Caenorhabditis elegans: one gene and its partner. The protein of the gene in region 2 interacts with the protein of the main gene of each other region in a pairwise test. Each region holds a gene or a part of one and is shown on either strand. Other genes may lie near its edges.

The links.
Region 1: the proteins of rfip-1 (region 2) and gst-40 interact in a two-hybrid assay, tested with the Caenorhabditis elegans proteins (one large-scale study listed by BioGRID).

What each region holds. Positions count from the first base shown.
Region 1 is NC_003282.8:757,167-764,883, reverse strand, and holds gst-40 (Glutathione S-transferase), read right to left. Parts: upstream 4,383-7,717; 5' UTR 4,267-4,382; coding exon 4,184-4,266; intron 4,139-4,183; coding exon 4,071-4,138; intron 3,283-4,070; coding exon 3,059-3,282; intron 3,015-3,058; coding exon 2,862-3,014; intron 2,712-2,861; coding exon 2,589-2,711; 3' UTR 2,465-2,588; downstream 1-2,464. Other genes in the region: F56B3.2 (EB domain-containing protein), read left to right, coding at 41-197, 600-706; col-103 (Nematode cuticle collagen N-terminal domain-containing protein), read left to right, coding at 1,220-1,363, 1,460-2,431; srt-23 (Serpentine Receptor, class T), read right to left, coding at 5,800-5,996, 6,293-6,422, 6,913-7,059, 7,108-7,334, 7,380-7,581.
Region 2 is NC_003280.10:5,882,349-5,890,065, forward strand, and holds the start of rfip-1 (FIP-RBD domain-containing protein), read left to right. Parts: upstream 1-4,019; 5' UTR 4,020-4,106; coding exon 4,107-4,148; intron 4,149-7,111; exon of another isoform or gene 7,112-7,359; intron 7,360-7,717.

The sequences.
Region 1 (7,717 bases), on a different chromosome or scaffold from region 2:
ACAACAAATAATTTTCAAGCTTTAGCTATATATTTTTCAGGCTGTACCGCTCAATTCCCTCTGCTTCATTCAAAAGCAATGTCCACAAAATTCGGGATGCTACCGTGGAAGATGCATGTGCCGTTGTGGGTTTGCAGCGAAAAATGGAAAATGCGTTGAGATTCCAGCCCCACCAACGACGACTTCAGCACCAGCACGTGAGTTTTTAAGTTTTTTCTTCAGGCGGTTCAGATAGTTATGAAACTAAAGAACTCTACATATTTTCTGAAAACAAAATGAATTGAGAATAAATTTTTCTGAAAAGTTTCGACTGAAAAATAAACGATTTTATGATGTTTGTAATTACCGAAAATTGAAATTCCACGACTTCTGCCTCAAAAAGACGGTACCCGGTCTCGCCGCGATAAATTTCTGTTAAATGAAAAATCCTTAAAGGTACATACCCTTTTGCAGTTATTGAAAGACCGGGTGCTATGTTTTTGAGGCAAATATTGTGAAACTTACGAATAGTTTGAGGTTTTTTTCAGAGTTGAATTTCTTCCAAAAAATCTGACCACATATGAGATTTTTGAAACGTTTAAAAATTCCAATTTTTCCAGCCGCCATAATCCCCGGAGTGCCCATCAATCCTGGAAACGACCTGTTCAAACTTTTCGGACAATTCCTCGGAGCTGGAAATGGAGGTGGCGGACTCAATTTTGGATAATTTCTCTTCCCGCAATCTCATTGTCTTTATTTTTTACTACGAGGTATTGAATTGTTTTTTAATTTTTTAATTATAAAATTTTTCAAAATGAAGATTTTTTCCCCAAAAAACTCAAACATCAAATTAGCTGCCCATTTCTATCTCTTTTCCTTCGAAAAAGTTATGCCCTATGCCATCTATCTAGTCAACAAAATCAAGTCAACCCGGTAGAACCGTTAAGACAAAACTATCTAGAGAGAGACTGTGAGTGAGTGAGAGAATCAGAGAAATGGAAGATGTTTTGGTTGGGCGAAGAAGAGGACAAGGACGTTCGGGAAAAAACGTAACGGAAAAATTGAGAATTCTGTAACGAGACGCAGACGGTTAATTTCGGTTTTCGGACTGTTTTTCGGTCAGGAAAACGGAAAAATTGGAAAACGGAGAGAGAACTGTCCTTGAAACCGTTTTCAAATGCCTAGTAAGAATTCAGTATAAAAGGAACTCGAGCGACGGAATTCGTCAGTCGGTACAGCAATGTCCGCTTCAATCAAATTTGCCACCGGGGCAGCAGTGCTGTCCGGTGTGACTATTCTTGCTTGTCTTTTCTTTGCCGCCCAGGTCTTCAATGACGTCAACTCTCTCTATGATGAGGTTATGGTCGATATGGATGCGTTCAAGGTAGGTCTAGGATCCAGGAGCCTCATGGCCGCTCAATAGGGCTTACCAGGACCTCGTCCACAGCGCGAGGTGCACAGTCAAATTTCAAATTTCTAGGTTAAATCCAACATTGCCTGGGAAGCCATCAACGACGTGATTGCACCAAACCGTGAGAAGAGAGGATACGCTCAATATGGAGGAGGCGGCGGATATGGAGGTGGACACGGAGGAGCCGCCGTCGGAGGTGGATATGGAGGAGCTGTAGGAGGAGGAGGCGGTGGAGGCTACGGTGGAGGACACGGAGGAGGCCATGGAGGAGCCGTCGGAGGAGGATACGGAGGTGGTGGCGGCGGAGGTGGTGGATGCCAATGCTCCCCAAGCTCCAACACCTGCCCACCAGGACCACGTGGACCACCAGGACAAGCCGGACTTGATGGACTCCCAGGAGCCCCAGGACAACCTGGATCAAACGGAGGAGCTGGATCAAATGGAGCTTCCGAGGGAAGCGCCGGAGGATGCAAGACCTGCCCAGCCGGACCACCAGGACCACCAGGACCAGCCGGACAAGCAGGACGCCCAGGAAACGACGGACAGCCAGGAGCCCCATCATTCGGAGGAGGTGTCGGAGCACCAGGAGCCCCAGGACCAGCCGGAGACGCCGGATCACCAGGACAACCAGGAGCACCAGGACAGCCAGGACGTCCAGGAAAGAACGCACAAGGAGGATCTTCCCGACCAGGACCACCAGGACCAGCCGGACCACCAGGACCACCAGGAAACAATGGAGCTCCAGGAGGTGGATACGGAGTTGGACCACCAGGACCACCAGGACCATCCGGGCGCCCAGGAGCCCCAGGACAGCCAGGACCAGACGGACAGCCAGGAGCTCCAGGAAACGATGGAACCCCAGGAACCGACGCTGCCTACTGCCCATGCCCAGGGCGTGGAGGAGGCGGAGGAGGATATGGAGCCGGTGCTCATCACGGAGGACCACAAGGATTCTCCCGCAGAAAGGTTGCTCGCAAGGTTCTTGCCAAGAAGCGTGTTGCCGTTCAACGTAAAGCTGCCGCAGCTGCTCGTCACGCTTAAGCCTACTTTTTTCATTCAAAATAAACGATTTGCATTCAAAACCTCCAAATACATATTTACTGGCACTCAAAAATATTAAAACATCAGAATTTGTTCAGAATCACTATCAGAATCATAGTTTCTCACAGAAATCACAATCAGGTACTCAAACATGTTATCACTCTTTGTATTTTGTCTCCGGCCAGTTGGCGTCAATATATTCCTTTAATTCCGGCAGGTTGCGCATTCTGAGATAGTACTCGCGGAGTTCGGGAAGATTGTCGAAGACACCGTCGTCGCTCTGGAAATTAGTATAGAGGTCTTTTTAGGGCACGATTGGAGTAAGTCTGACCCATTTACAGCAAAAGTCGTCACCTTTTTGACGCACTTTACTAAGGTTCTAGAGGGCGTAGGCTTCCAGCTTTCTAGCGCAGAAGTCTCCCATTCTCACCTCATCCAATGCCTGCAACACCCCAAGAATGTAGACATCACACCAATGGATCGATTTTCCCACGAAGTACTCTCCTTTGCTTTTTTTCAACAAATCTTGCATATTTTCCAGCTTTGGACCAATGGACTCTTTGTAGGTCCCCATCATGGAATCCTAAAGGAGATAAAATTGGTTTTTATAGTAGGTATAGTTGCTACCTTGATGGGATCCGGTGCATACTTAGCCATTGCGGCAAGCTGGAACAAATCAGCAAACCCATCAGCCATCATGTCCACTTTGGCCGAATCGGTTTTGGTAGCTCCGCCGAACCATCTATCCGGCTGAATTGACTTTGCCAGGTAGCGGCAAATAGATACCGTCTGACAGAGAGTAGTCTTTCCTCCATCGATTTCGATAAAAGGGAGCTGTTTCATTGGGGCTTCTGGAAAGATTCATCTGACTGAAAATTTTCCAAAAATTTTTAAAACTTTCCATAATTTTCCTAATGATTCCGAAAGTTTCCAGAAGTATTCGAAAATTTTTAAAAATTTCCAAATGTTTCTAAAAAAAGAGAAGTTCCCGAAAGATTTTAAGAAACTTCAAAAGATCACAGAACATCACTTACAACATTCCTAATTTTTTTGAATACTTTCAAGCAATTCCCAAAAAAAAAGTTCTAGTAGCTTCCAACAGCTTAAAAAGTTTCCAACTTTCCAACAAAAAATTTTCATTGGTTTCCAAAATTTTTTAAAAGATGCTAGATACTTCCGAAATATACAATCAGTTTCCAGAAATTTCTTGAAATCCTCAAAATTTTTTGGTAGTTTTTAAACGGTTTCAAAATTTTTCAGAAATGCTGGAAATTTCCAAATATTTCCATAAAATTCCGTCAAGTTACCAAAACTTTTCATAAATTTTCCAAAAAGTGTTCGATCATTTTGAGAAGTTTTTGCCAAACTTCACAAAAGATTCAGAAGTTTCCAAATGTTTCTAGAACGTTTCAGAAAGTCACAATAATTTCCATAAAACTTCAGAACTTTCTGATATTTTCCAAAATTTTTCAAATGGTTTCAGACGTTTTGAAATAATTTGAAGCGTTTTGAAAAGTTTATAAAAGTTTGAAAAAAAAATTCCAAACATCCCCGAAGACAGGATTCCAGAGCACTTTGAAATTTCAAAAAAATTGCTAGGTTTGGTTTCTAAAAATCTGAGGAAGTTTCTGTCACCTACTATCTTTCATAGCTCCAGTGAAGTCTCCTTTATCCATTCGGTAATCTTCAAAGTCCACACCAAGAAAGCTGTAAATATATCAAGATCAGAATTTTTTCAACTTCTCCACCTACTGAAAAACCAATCTAATTGGCTCGGCGCGTCCTCTCATATTGACGTAATAGAGCTTGTAGCGATGTTTTTGGTCGGGAGACATGTTGAAATTGGAAATACTGAAAAAAAAGTTGTGGACGAAATGTAGAGGAGTTAGGAGAAGAAGAAGAAGCCGGAGGGGAACAAGCCAATAATCAAAAACACGTTTTTTTTGGTTGTGGTGTGGTGCATGAGCCAGAAGGGGAGATGGAGAAGGGAGATTTATAGTGGATACTCTCTTTGCAATAGATGGAAAAGGTTGAGAGAAAAGCAGACAGAACGAGAAATGGAGGAAGGGATAAACGAAGAAAATTAAAGGGAAAATGAATGGGAAAATGGATAAAGTAAAAGACAATAGGCACGGGAAGGAAGGGGGAAAAAGAGCACCAAACATCACGAGAAAGTTAGAGGTAATGGAGCAAACTCCGCGCATGCTTTGATGCACTTGGGCCCTTCCACTATTATGCTATTATGTTTCAGAAAGACTCAGACAGTTCTAGAAAGTTTTAAAAAGTTTCAGAAAGTTCAAGACAATTGAAATTTGATGAAATTTTCTAAAGCTTTCTGAAGTCTTCTAAGACTTTCTAGAACTTTTTGAAATTTTGTGAAATTGTTTTAAAAGTTTTCTGAAACTGTCAGAAACTTTCTGACAATTTTCTACAAGTTTCTGAAAACTTAATAAAACTTTCCGCAATTTTCGGAAATTTTCTGAATTAAAAAAATTTTTCTAAAATTTCAGCAAATTTTAGAAACTTTTTAAAGCTTTCTAACAGTATCCTGCATATTTTTTGAAAATGTTCATCATTGAACAAGTTTTCAAAATTTTGTTGTTATTCAATTTTTAGTTTTAAAGTTTTTCCTAAAAAATGAGCAAATTTTTAGTTTTTATTAATTTTTAAAGACTGTAATAAACGATATAGAGTCCTAGAAATTTTTACAGACACTGAAGAAAAAAATCTTCAATTTCAAGCAAAACAAAGCCGACCAAAGAAACAAAAAAAATAGAGCTATTTGTCTTGACTGCTAGCTATCCCAACCTATATATTAAGCGTATATATGCACATCGTCGTCGTGACAATGTAGGCGGAGCCAAGAAGGCGAGCTCGTTGAGCCCTCCCCGGTGAGCTGCTTCTTCTCAAAGTACACGATGACAATTGGGGAGAGTCATGTAGCCCAGACACATGGACTTTGGTCGTTTTTCTTGGAGTATGTATATTCATATATAAGTACGTTTATTATTCATCAAGTAGTAATGAGAAAGTAAAATAAAGAATGAAATGTAAGGAGAAAATGAGTAGGGAGAAATTGAATGAAGTTTGTATTTTTTTTCTCTAGTATGGCATTCCACTAAATACATGAGTTTAAAATGTTATAACTCGGTTCATTTTAGAGATATCAATAAATAATTAACTACGAAACGATTGAAAAAGAAGTAACAAATATTTTGTCGATGGACAGTTTTTGCATAGGACACACGATAACTAAGATATCAGTTGTCAAAGTTTGGGGTGCAAAACTAATAGGAAAAATACATAGACTTTCAATGGATTAAAACTTTTCTTTAAAGATTAAAAATTAAGTTCATTAAAAAAAAATTTTAAAACACAGGTCCAGAACTTCCAGTCCTTGTTGTCAACCTCGCCTCAACACCGACTACACTAAGGATCGGACGAAGAGTCGTTGTCCGATTGGAGCCAATTCTGGCCTTATCTCTAATGATACGTGGCACCAAAAGATCGATGACCCCTCGTCGGACGGTCTTGTTCATTGTGATGTACACGATGCAAACGGATCCTGAAATATTAGAGAATTAAAAAAAATTAGGTGTACTCCTATAGACCTGCACGGAGGAGTCTTAAAATTACCGAAAAAAAGTTATTTTTTTTGTTGAAATTTTCATTTTGATGAATTACTATTGGTTTCTCCTTCTACTTCAACGAGCTCAAAATTGTCATCATCTTCGTGCTTTTTCATTTTTTTTTTGTCATCCCAATTATTCATTCGTATAGTGAAATTCACATGAAGTTACATTTTTCACAAAAAAAATGCTGACAAAAAAGTGTGTTTTAGCAACGAGTTTTTGTTCTCACCGTGAGCGCACTGCCATGCAAGCTGTCCAACAAGCACAACGGCTGGGGGAGAATAGAAGAATTGCATGTAGACATAGATGTAGGCAGCGATTGCATTGAAAGAGCAGATCAGGACGGATTGGAAGAAGATCTGGAATCAGTTGTTTGTCATGACACTGAAAGATTCACAGTTAGCCTTGAAAAAAGTTGTAGTGGTTGTGGTGAAACAACTGAAAGTTTGATATAACTAGGTCCAAAGAAAAGGAAAATACCAGCTCGACCATGCTTTAAACTTTGAATTGCCGCGCAAATTCTTGATGTTCTAGAATGTTTTTTTTCTGGATTTGGCAGAATTTTCAAGCATGTATCAAGTTTTAGTTAAATACACCAAGAATGTTCTTCAGCTAACAAAAATAAAATAACATCACAACGTGGAACGCTGATTTTGAGCCGGTGTTGTATATAAGTTGTCATATAAGTTATTTAACCTTTTTTGTATACTATGCATACTATGCATACTGTTATTGTATATATGCCTTTTTCCTTTTCATGTTCATTTATAATTTTTTGAGGCGATTTCCGGGCGAGACGGGCGGGCCGCGCCTCCATGCACAGCACTCCATAACTGCTAATTTTTTTACCTGAGTCTGAGTTCTTGAAATCGACTCTGAACGGAAATGTTTGCTCTTGGCGAACAATAGAATGCATAGATACGAGTATATTGCTGTAGTTGCCAGGGAAACAACACAGTTGTTGATGGTATGTGCGATGTTTATGTAGTCGGTCGCCTGAAATCGTATAGTTTTTTGTTATTATTGCCCAATTCCCCCCTATACCTCGTGACCAGGGAGCATTGGATTAAAGAACCAGCTCATATAGTTTGAATTAAATATAACGGGTTTGGTGAAAAATATCGAGTAAATTGTAAAAAGAATGGGGACAGCTATAGTGAGGTAGATTTTCCGGCCGATGAATATGGTGCGGATTCGGAGATGTTGATTAACATCACAACATCGATTGATTCCAAGAAGGATACAGGTAGCACAGGATCCCATCCAGCATCCTGAAATATTCCTATAAGTACTTTTCCAAGAATGGGCTAACATACCACATCCAAGAGAGCCCATCATGAAAATAAATTTTGGGTACGAGCAAAATGTTGCTCCCATTATTCCAAGGAAGCCGGTAGCAATAGAATTGGTCAAAATGCATCCAATATCCAGAAATCCAAGCCAAACCATGATCTTATAACAAGAAGACTTCATTAAATCGCTTCTACTAATTACTATAAGGCATGGGATGTAGATCATCTGAAATGCGATGATAAAAGCGGGAAAAAAGTTTTGAAAGACATTTTGCTTTTATTTTAAATTGTCTGAAAACTGTTAGAATAGTGCTAAAATTAATGAAAAAGGGATTGAAAAAAAAAAACTTGTTTCGTTCAAT
Region 2 (7,717 bases):
CATTCCCAAGGCCTCTCAAACGATGTGATCGTTGTCCATTCCTTTTTTGAGCCAAAGCCTCGGAACGCCAATCTATGATAATGTGTTGATGTTATATTTGTTCAAAAGATCAGCTCATTCTCAGCTTTTGACTCTTTTTAATAATGTCTTCTGAAGAATAATCTCTGAAATTCCAATTTTTGAGCTTTCTCAAGACAAACCCCCCCCCCCCCTTTCCGTTGGTTTCCATAGCAGCCCTTTCCTTATTATTATTTCTTTTTTCCATTCATTATTCATTCCGGTGATGCATGCTTTTCTCCTTCTTTTTTTTTGTATTTCGCCCACTGCTTCTTCATCATCGTTATATTTTCTTAGTTTTCGCAGGGCAGAGTTAAAAAATAAGAAGACAAAAAATTAGAGGAAAGTCATTCAAGTGTAATAAAATCTAAGCGATTCGCCCCGTTTTTCGAGATTTTATCGAAAGAATGAATGCCAATTGCGCAAGCATTTCGATGATTCCATCCACAAATTCCACTTTTTCCCTCATTTACGTCACCGGGATAGATTAATTTTCAGTTTAGGAAGTTATGAAGCATGTGGTTTTTTGAAAAGCTCTGATTTCGCACTTAGAGGATTTTCAAAAAAATATTATGCTGAGAGGAAATGAAAACATTTACTGTTTCAAATAAATTGCAAAATAGAGTTTGTTTTTTTTTCGAATTTATTAGAAACTCTTAAACTTATTACCTTACCTGGAAGTTTGAAAAAACTCATACCTACCAATTTTGATATTCAGTGAAAATTAGTTTTTTATATCCAGAGCAAAGCAATGTCGTCAAATAATTTTTAGAGTGTTTTTCTTAAAAAAAAAACAAAAAAAACTAAATGAGAAATAAATATTTTCGAATGTTAGGAAGTCTGAAAGTACTAGAAATAAGTTTTTTTTAACTGTTTAAGATGATGAGAATACACAAAAGAGAAACATATTTTTTGTACTGAACTTTTCTAGTATTTTCTGAAAAAAACATTAATGTTTTTCAAACCTAACTATAAGACTTGGAATAATTACTGCGTTCAGTGTTTTAACTGTTCTACGAATTTTCTTTTTGTTAAAAAAAAATTATATAAAAGTTTCTCATATGTTTCAAATTTCCAAGTGCCACTTAAACTTCTTCACCTACCCAACTGACCACTACCTATTATTTCCCCCCAATTCAGAAGTATTTTCTCTCTCTTTTTTCCTCTATATTCACCTCAAAAACTAGTAGTCGTTGTATTTGGGCAAAATGTCCTTTCCGTTCTTCTGTCCACTACCACCACGAATACCCTCAACACTCACTTTATTCCATTCATTCTTCCCGTTTCGACGATTCGATTCACACATAAATTATAGTATACATACTTGAACCAAAAAAATGGAAACGGGGAGGAACGGGTTCGGATGAATGACTTTTCACACTCCTTTTCCTTGAGAAATGACAAATTGGAAGACTCTGTGAGCCAAGATAGGCGGAGCTTCGAATTATTCACCAACTTTCTTATTTCTTTCTTAGAAATTCGTTTCTTAAATTTTTGATCTTGACAGACAGCTGAATAACCTAGTTGATTATGGGTATCACGTTCTGTTATCACTATGGTTACTTTATTTTGTTTTTCTTTTTTCTTCCACTTGGCGTCACAGCCGCTATAAAATTTATTATTCTAGCAGTTGGCTCACTTCTTCATCTAGATCATGAAAAAGTGCTTCTTTTGTTGGTTCACACATTCAACTTTTTGTCATTTTATTTAGACCGCATTTTGCCACAAAAAAATTACAAAAGTCGGATAATTTGTCAATGTTCTACAACGCATCTATTATTTAAATTTGTATGCTTGTTTTTCTAAAAATTCGAATTCCAACCTGTAATCACTCTAAAAATACCTGAACATTGAAGCATTGGAGCATTAACTTCCTCTAAAAAATGGCTTATTTTCCCCTATTTCTCTATTTCTCTCTCGCGTTACCATTCATTTTTTATATTTCTCACCTGATATTTGCTCTTGTACCGGTAGTTCCAACATGTACATACACATTCATTTTACAGTCTTCCTCGCACATTTTAACAGTTTTCCTTTCATATACGAATTCCTCCATCTTTTTCAAATTCCCTTTTTATTTTTTCAAACCGTCGTCCTTTTTATAGCTTTCCCACTTTCTTCCAAATCAAATTTTGAAATATTTCAGAGTTTAACTCTCAATCAAATCGAAACGAACGATCTTCTAAAACATCATTGGGCTCCTGAATCAGAACCACGACAGCGTCATGACCGACGTGTATGAGTCGCCTGCCCGCGAGGTATGATTCTTTTTTCCTTCATAATTTTGCAAAAAAAATGGTATCTATTTTTGAAAAACTAATATTGACTAATTTTCTATTAGGCAGAACACTGCTCATCTCCTAATATTTGTATGACGGATTGTACTGGTATTTTTATATGTTTTGACAAGGCTTCCCAATTTACAAAAACATAAAAACAGCTAGCTATTAATAATGAAAAATTGTTTGGATCTATATTTGTTGAAAATATTTTTTACTGACATTGAAATTTCAAAAGTTGTCAAATTGTAAATGCTCATCGTTTGCAAGACTATTCTTATTGTATGAAAAAGTGAGAAGCTGCAAAATTCCATTCAACAAAAAAAACTACTAACATTTTAATATTTTCAAGACTCCAAACTGTAAGAAAATCTAGCTCCACACTCAAACTAGGCCATGTACGTAAAACTAGTATAATTTACAGTTGAGTCATGTAACATGTATTCATAGTTGCATTCATTTGACTCATTTACCTCGTTCTCCCCCTCCCTTCCCATTTCCTTCAACTCTGTTCAGTTTCCCGAGTACACATTGAATCTACCTGCTCCTGAAGCTGCGCCTCTCATCCTCTCGGGCTATTTTCCATTCCGTAAAAGTAACTTGAGCCTTGTTCACATAACAACAAAATGCGGGGCAAGATAGAATGTTCGCATTTCAATTGTACTAGAGACCTTTATCTTCAAAGAATAGTTTTGGTTTTTTTTCCTGTTTCGTAAAGTGGAATGAGTGTTGTCCCCAATCCATCTCAAATTATACTTCATCTTACGCTCATCCACTTTTCACCCACTTTTCAGACTCTTTAAATGACCATCCTTTTCTCTTTTTCCTTTTATTCTTATAACAATAGACGTGATTCTTTTAATTTGTGGATTTGCCGGTGCCGCTCCTAATTACTGTATACTTCTCACTAATACTAAAGTTTAGCAATTAAAACTATTAACTCAAAAAGAAGTAAACCTATTTTCAAAGCATTCTTCCCAATTCAGAGTTGATGAAAAGCCACAAAACAATGGGATCACTCGAAAAAATGTGTTTCGAAGAGCCATGCATTTTGAGCTCTTAGAGCTAAATCACAAATCATTGAAGGTTCTATGTATGAACATTGAATAAATCATTTCGATTTAGGGAGACTATACGTTCAACTTCCTCTTTGTACCAACTTCAGTATTCGCTACAGATTTTTGGTTCCTTGTTTCACTATTGAAAATTTTAATGTTTCCAATTTCTTCTACAAGAAACATCATGACCCCATAATTCACTTCCTAATCGTCTAATCATCTCCTCTTATCACAAGAATTACTTGGGTGTGACTGGTCATTTGAAATAGCTTTGCAATTGTTTTTTCTTTGCTTCTCGAAACCCGTCAAAAAACTATCGATTAATTGCGCTCAATAGAAGACGTACAAAACAAGTGAACACATACAATGACTATCCAAAAACCGGATTCGCTTTCCCTCTCTTTTCACTTGTGATTTCGCAATTCTTTCATCTTCAACGTCTTCTTCTTCGGTTGTTTTTTGTATTGAGGGTTTACAACCTCAACCTGATGACCGTGGCTGAAAAGATAAACTGGCAAAATTGAAGAGACTAGTTGAAGCTAGAGAGACGCAGGCCTGAAAGTTGAAGAAGGCGGTTCGAAATTGATAACAGTCTCTTCGTTTTCTCATTTCTTCTCAACACAGTACAATTTGCCGCATTCACTCGTCTGCTACTATTACCTTCTGAACTATTGATTTGGTGGCATTCTGTCACTCATTTATTTCTCCAACAATGACTACTGAATTCGTGTCAGAAGAGGAGTCCAAGTATGCGGTAAGTACTCTACAATATTGACATTAACGGAGGGAAATTGATTCCAATGGGGTTAAGTAAAGTCAGTCATACAAGTTTGCACTTTAGTGATTTTCTAGGCAGCTTCACAAAATAGCATTAAAAAATGCATTTTAAACATCTAATCGTTTTTTCATCAGAAACATGTGAATTTCCAGAGCCTTCTCCTTACCATTTTACATAAAGGGCGGCGATCTTTAACCAAATTTTTCTCATTAACGATGATATTGTTTTTTTAAATAGCTGAAATGTTGAAAATAATACACCTGAAAAAGAATCCTTCAAATTATTCAGCTTTCACAATAAATAAGGACAGTTTATTTTATTTATGCTTCAAGGGACACCACATTTGCTTCTTTTGATTTGTTGTATGAAAAAATCTAAAAACGGTTCTATCAATCTTTTTTGAATGCATTTCATGCGACAGTAACCTTTATAATCGTTCATATTTCCCTCATGTCAATTTCAATGTCCTCCACTTTTTTCCACCTATTTGGGACAGGGATGAGTCACTGAAAAACTGTCTTCCCACCTTTGAAAAGACCATCCCCTACAGTGTTTGCTCGCCGTCTCTAAGTCTCTCCAATTTGTGTACTCTATTCCAAGTGAAGCTTTTCCACTCGAAAACCGTATTTCGATACACTCCTTTTTCTTTCTCAGATGCTGAAGCTGAAGACCCATGTTCTTTTCCTTTTCTATGACATTATTCTAGCACATAATTATAGTGTCAAAAAAGGGAGAAGTGTCTAGAATTCACATGTCACGTGGAACATTATTTCAGTTTTCACCTAGAAGTTCCCACCAATTTGTGTTGTTTGTCAAACAACTTTTGTTGATGATCTCTGATGATCTACTCTGAACTCTGTATTTTTTTTCTGTCTAAAACGTCATAGGAAATGAGTCAGTTGCCACGTCACAATAAAAATGGGAAAAGTATCGGAATTTTTTGGTTCTAATCTATTTGTTTTTCGTGTAAGAATGCTCATCGTCTTGTCGATCTTTTGATAGGAAGGGAATATAAAAAATAAATAAAAACAACTTGAGAATTCAACAGCTGATTTTTTCCACAAGAATTGACTAAATTTATAGCTATATAAAACGAACTGCCATATTGGAATACAAAATCTCAATTTTTGACAAACGTGATAAAGAATACGGTCAAATTTGGCAAACTTGCGGTATTTTCCTATCAACAACTTTGTTTGTGGAATTAATTTTTCAGGTTTCAATTGCATAATCTTTATATTCCGTTAGCATCAAATTCAGCGCAATTTTTTACGTCACACGGTTTTCAGAGCTATAAAAGTTTTAATATTTTTAAAAATGATCTTTTATAATTTCTAACATAATCATTCTCTTTTGAAAACTTGAATACAGTTTCAGAGAATTTCAAATTTTTAGAAAAATCATTTACATGAATTATTTATGGAGAAAAAGTTATCTGCAAATTTTACCATCTACATGTTGTTTCCATTAATAAAATGTACGTCTGTAAATTGATTCGCGCACGTTTCTAGTGAAGCTTCATGATGTAGTCCGGTTCCTGGTAAAATCCCAACAAACCACTTACCGTAATCCTCACGCACTTTTTTCTTCTTCCACTGTCCATTTTCTTTCCTCAAAAAAGCCTTGCAAACCGTTCGAGGCTTTTCCGTGTGCCGCTCTTTGTTATCCACTCGTTTTTCGTCATATTTCTCTTCATCTTTTCCACGCAAAAAACGTTTGTCTATTCTGTATGCTTATGTATGTTTTTGTTCTCTTCCGGAATATAGATGAACAGAGAGAGGCAGAGAGAGTCCGCGGAAAACCGTCGGCGGAACGACAAATACGTCGTTTTCCGGACAAGGCAGCCTTTTTGCCGCAATCGTCATTCCCGTCACTTGATATCTCTTGTATTGCCCGAGTTTAGTCTCTTTTCAAAAAGAGGTGAACACTGTCGTCAAGTATTCCCAGTTCTGTGAATTCATTATTTTTGTTATTTCTTTCTTTTGATAATTAGAAGCTCGAATGTTCCAACTATACGAGGTGAGATTTTAGATATCTAGATCACGCAGTCTAAGTCTTGTTTCAAGCATTATTTTTGCATTTGAGACTCAAAATATAAGACTAGATGGTGTACGGTTTAATCGAAAATTATGATATTGAAACTCCAGACACTAAGAAACTACTATCTACTTTATCAAATTTTTGAGCAATTATCGAATGATTTTGATGATAGAAAGCGCCAGTAGAAAATTCTATAAAACCTTCTTAACTGACCAAATACAGTTGCAAAATTTGAACTGAAATTTTTGGACTGAATTACCATGATCAGTGTACTTCAAAAAATTCCAACTGATACAACTCCACTTTCAAATTATATCGTCCAAATAACATTTATTTATTTTCTACGCTCATTTTCTGTCTTTCGTTATTTCCAAAAATCGAAAACTTCAGCAGGGAAAATTGTTCTCCTCGCTACTATTTCTGTTCAACTAAAACTGATCTCTCTGATCCGTTAATCTCTCATTTTCCGGTGATTTCACACTCTGTGTGCCGTGGTCTCAAATGTCGTTGTTAGAGATTTTTGAACTTTTCTATTGAATCATCTGTTTCAGATTTTTTTTCTCATTTTTGTTCCTCTCTGTAATGACAAAGCTCGTAATGACGTGAAAGGTTTCGGTTCCATTATGAGTCAAGAAATGAAGTGCTTGTTCCCTCCCGCCCCCTCTCTGGAAAAGTGAAGAAATTGAGTCATTCCGAGCAATATCTGCGTCTCTTATCACTCTTATCGTCGCCTGCTCAGGTGGCACAGAAACTTGTCAGAAGAACATGACAAGACATGACATTTTATGAGCTCTTTTCTAACATATTTGTTAGAGGGGAACTTTGTTTTAAAACTACAACGTCCTTCGAGTACTTAGGTATTTAGTTTCATTGACTCACATCATTCTACATTTTTTTAGCTCTAAATCCCACGTGCGTCATTTCATAGCGTCTGCTCTGTCCGTATCCATAGAAACCGCGAGGAGCGGCTCAGTAGAAGCAGGGACAGCTTAAAAATAAATATTATTCGAGGCTGAAGAGATTCAGAGTTCGGTGTTTCGCAATCCGCTCCACCTCTATTCTCCCACCTCTTTTAATATTTTTTGCCTAGTCACCACTGCCACACTTCAAAATTGAAGAATTCCAGAAAGAGCATTATCTGATTGATGTGAGTTTTGAGTTAATACATATAATCTTTTTGTAATTGTATGTTGTAATTGTATCCTTTAATTAGCAAAAATTGGTAAAAAACAAATTTGAAATCGTCTTCAGATTTAAAAAAAATTTATGATACCTATGAGTAATATGTTCTGAAAATGATCTTCAAAGAAATTTTAATTTGATATAATCAAATTAATTTAGTTTAATCTTGTCTCTAATCCCATGTTTTCCACTCCCTAAATCGGGGCAATTAATCCGGGTAGACCAGTTCAAATCCCTTAACAACTAGAATTTTTCGTTTTTGCCTTGTTCGTCATCTCTTTTCAAAAAAAAATAGTTGAACGAAAAAAGTGCTTGTAAATACG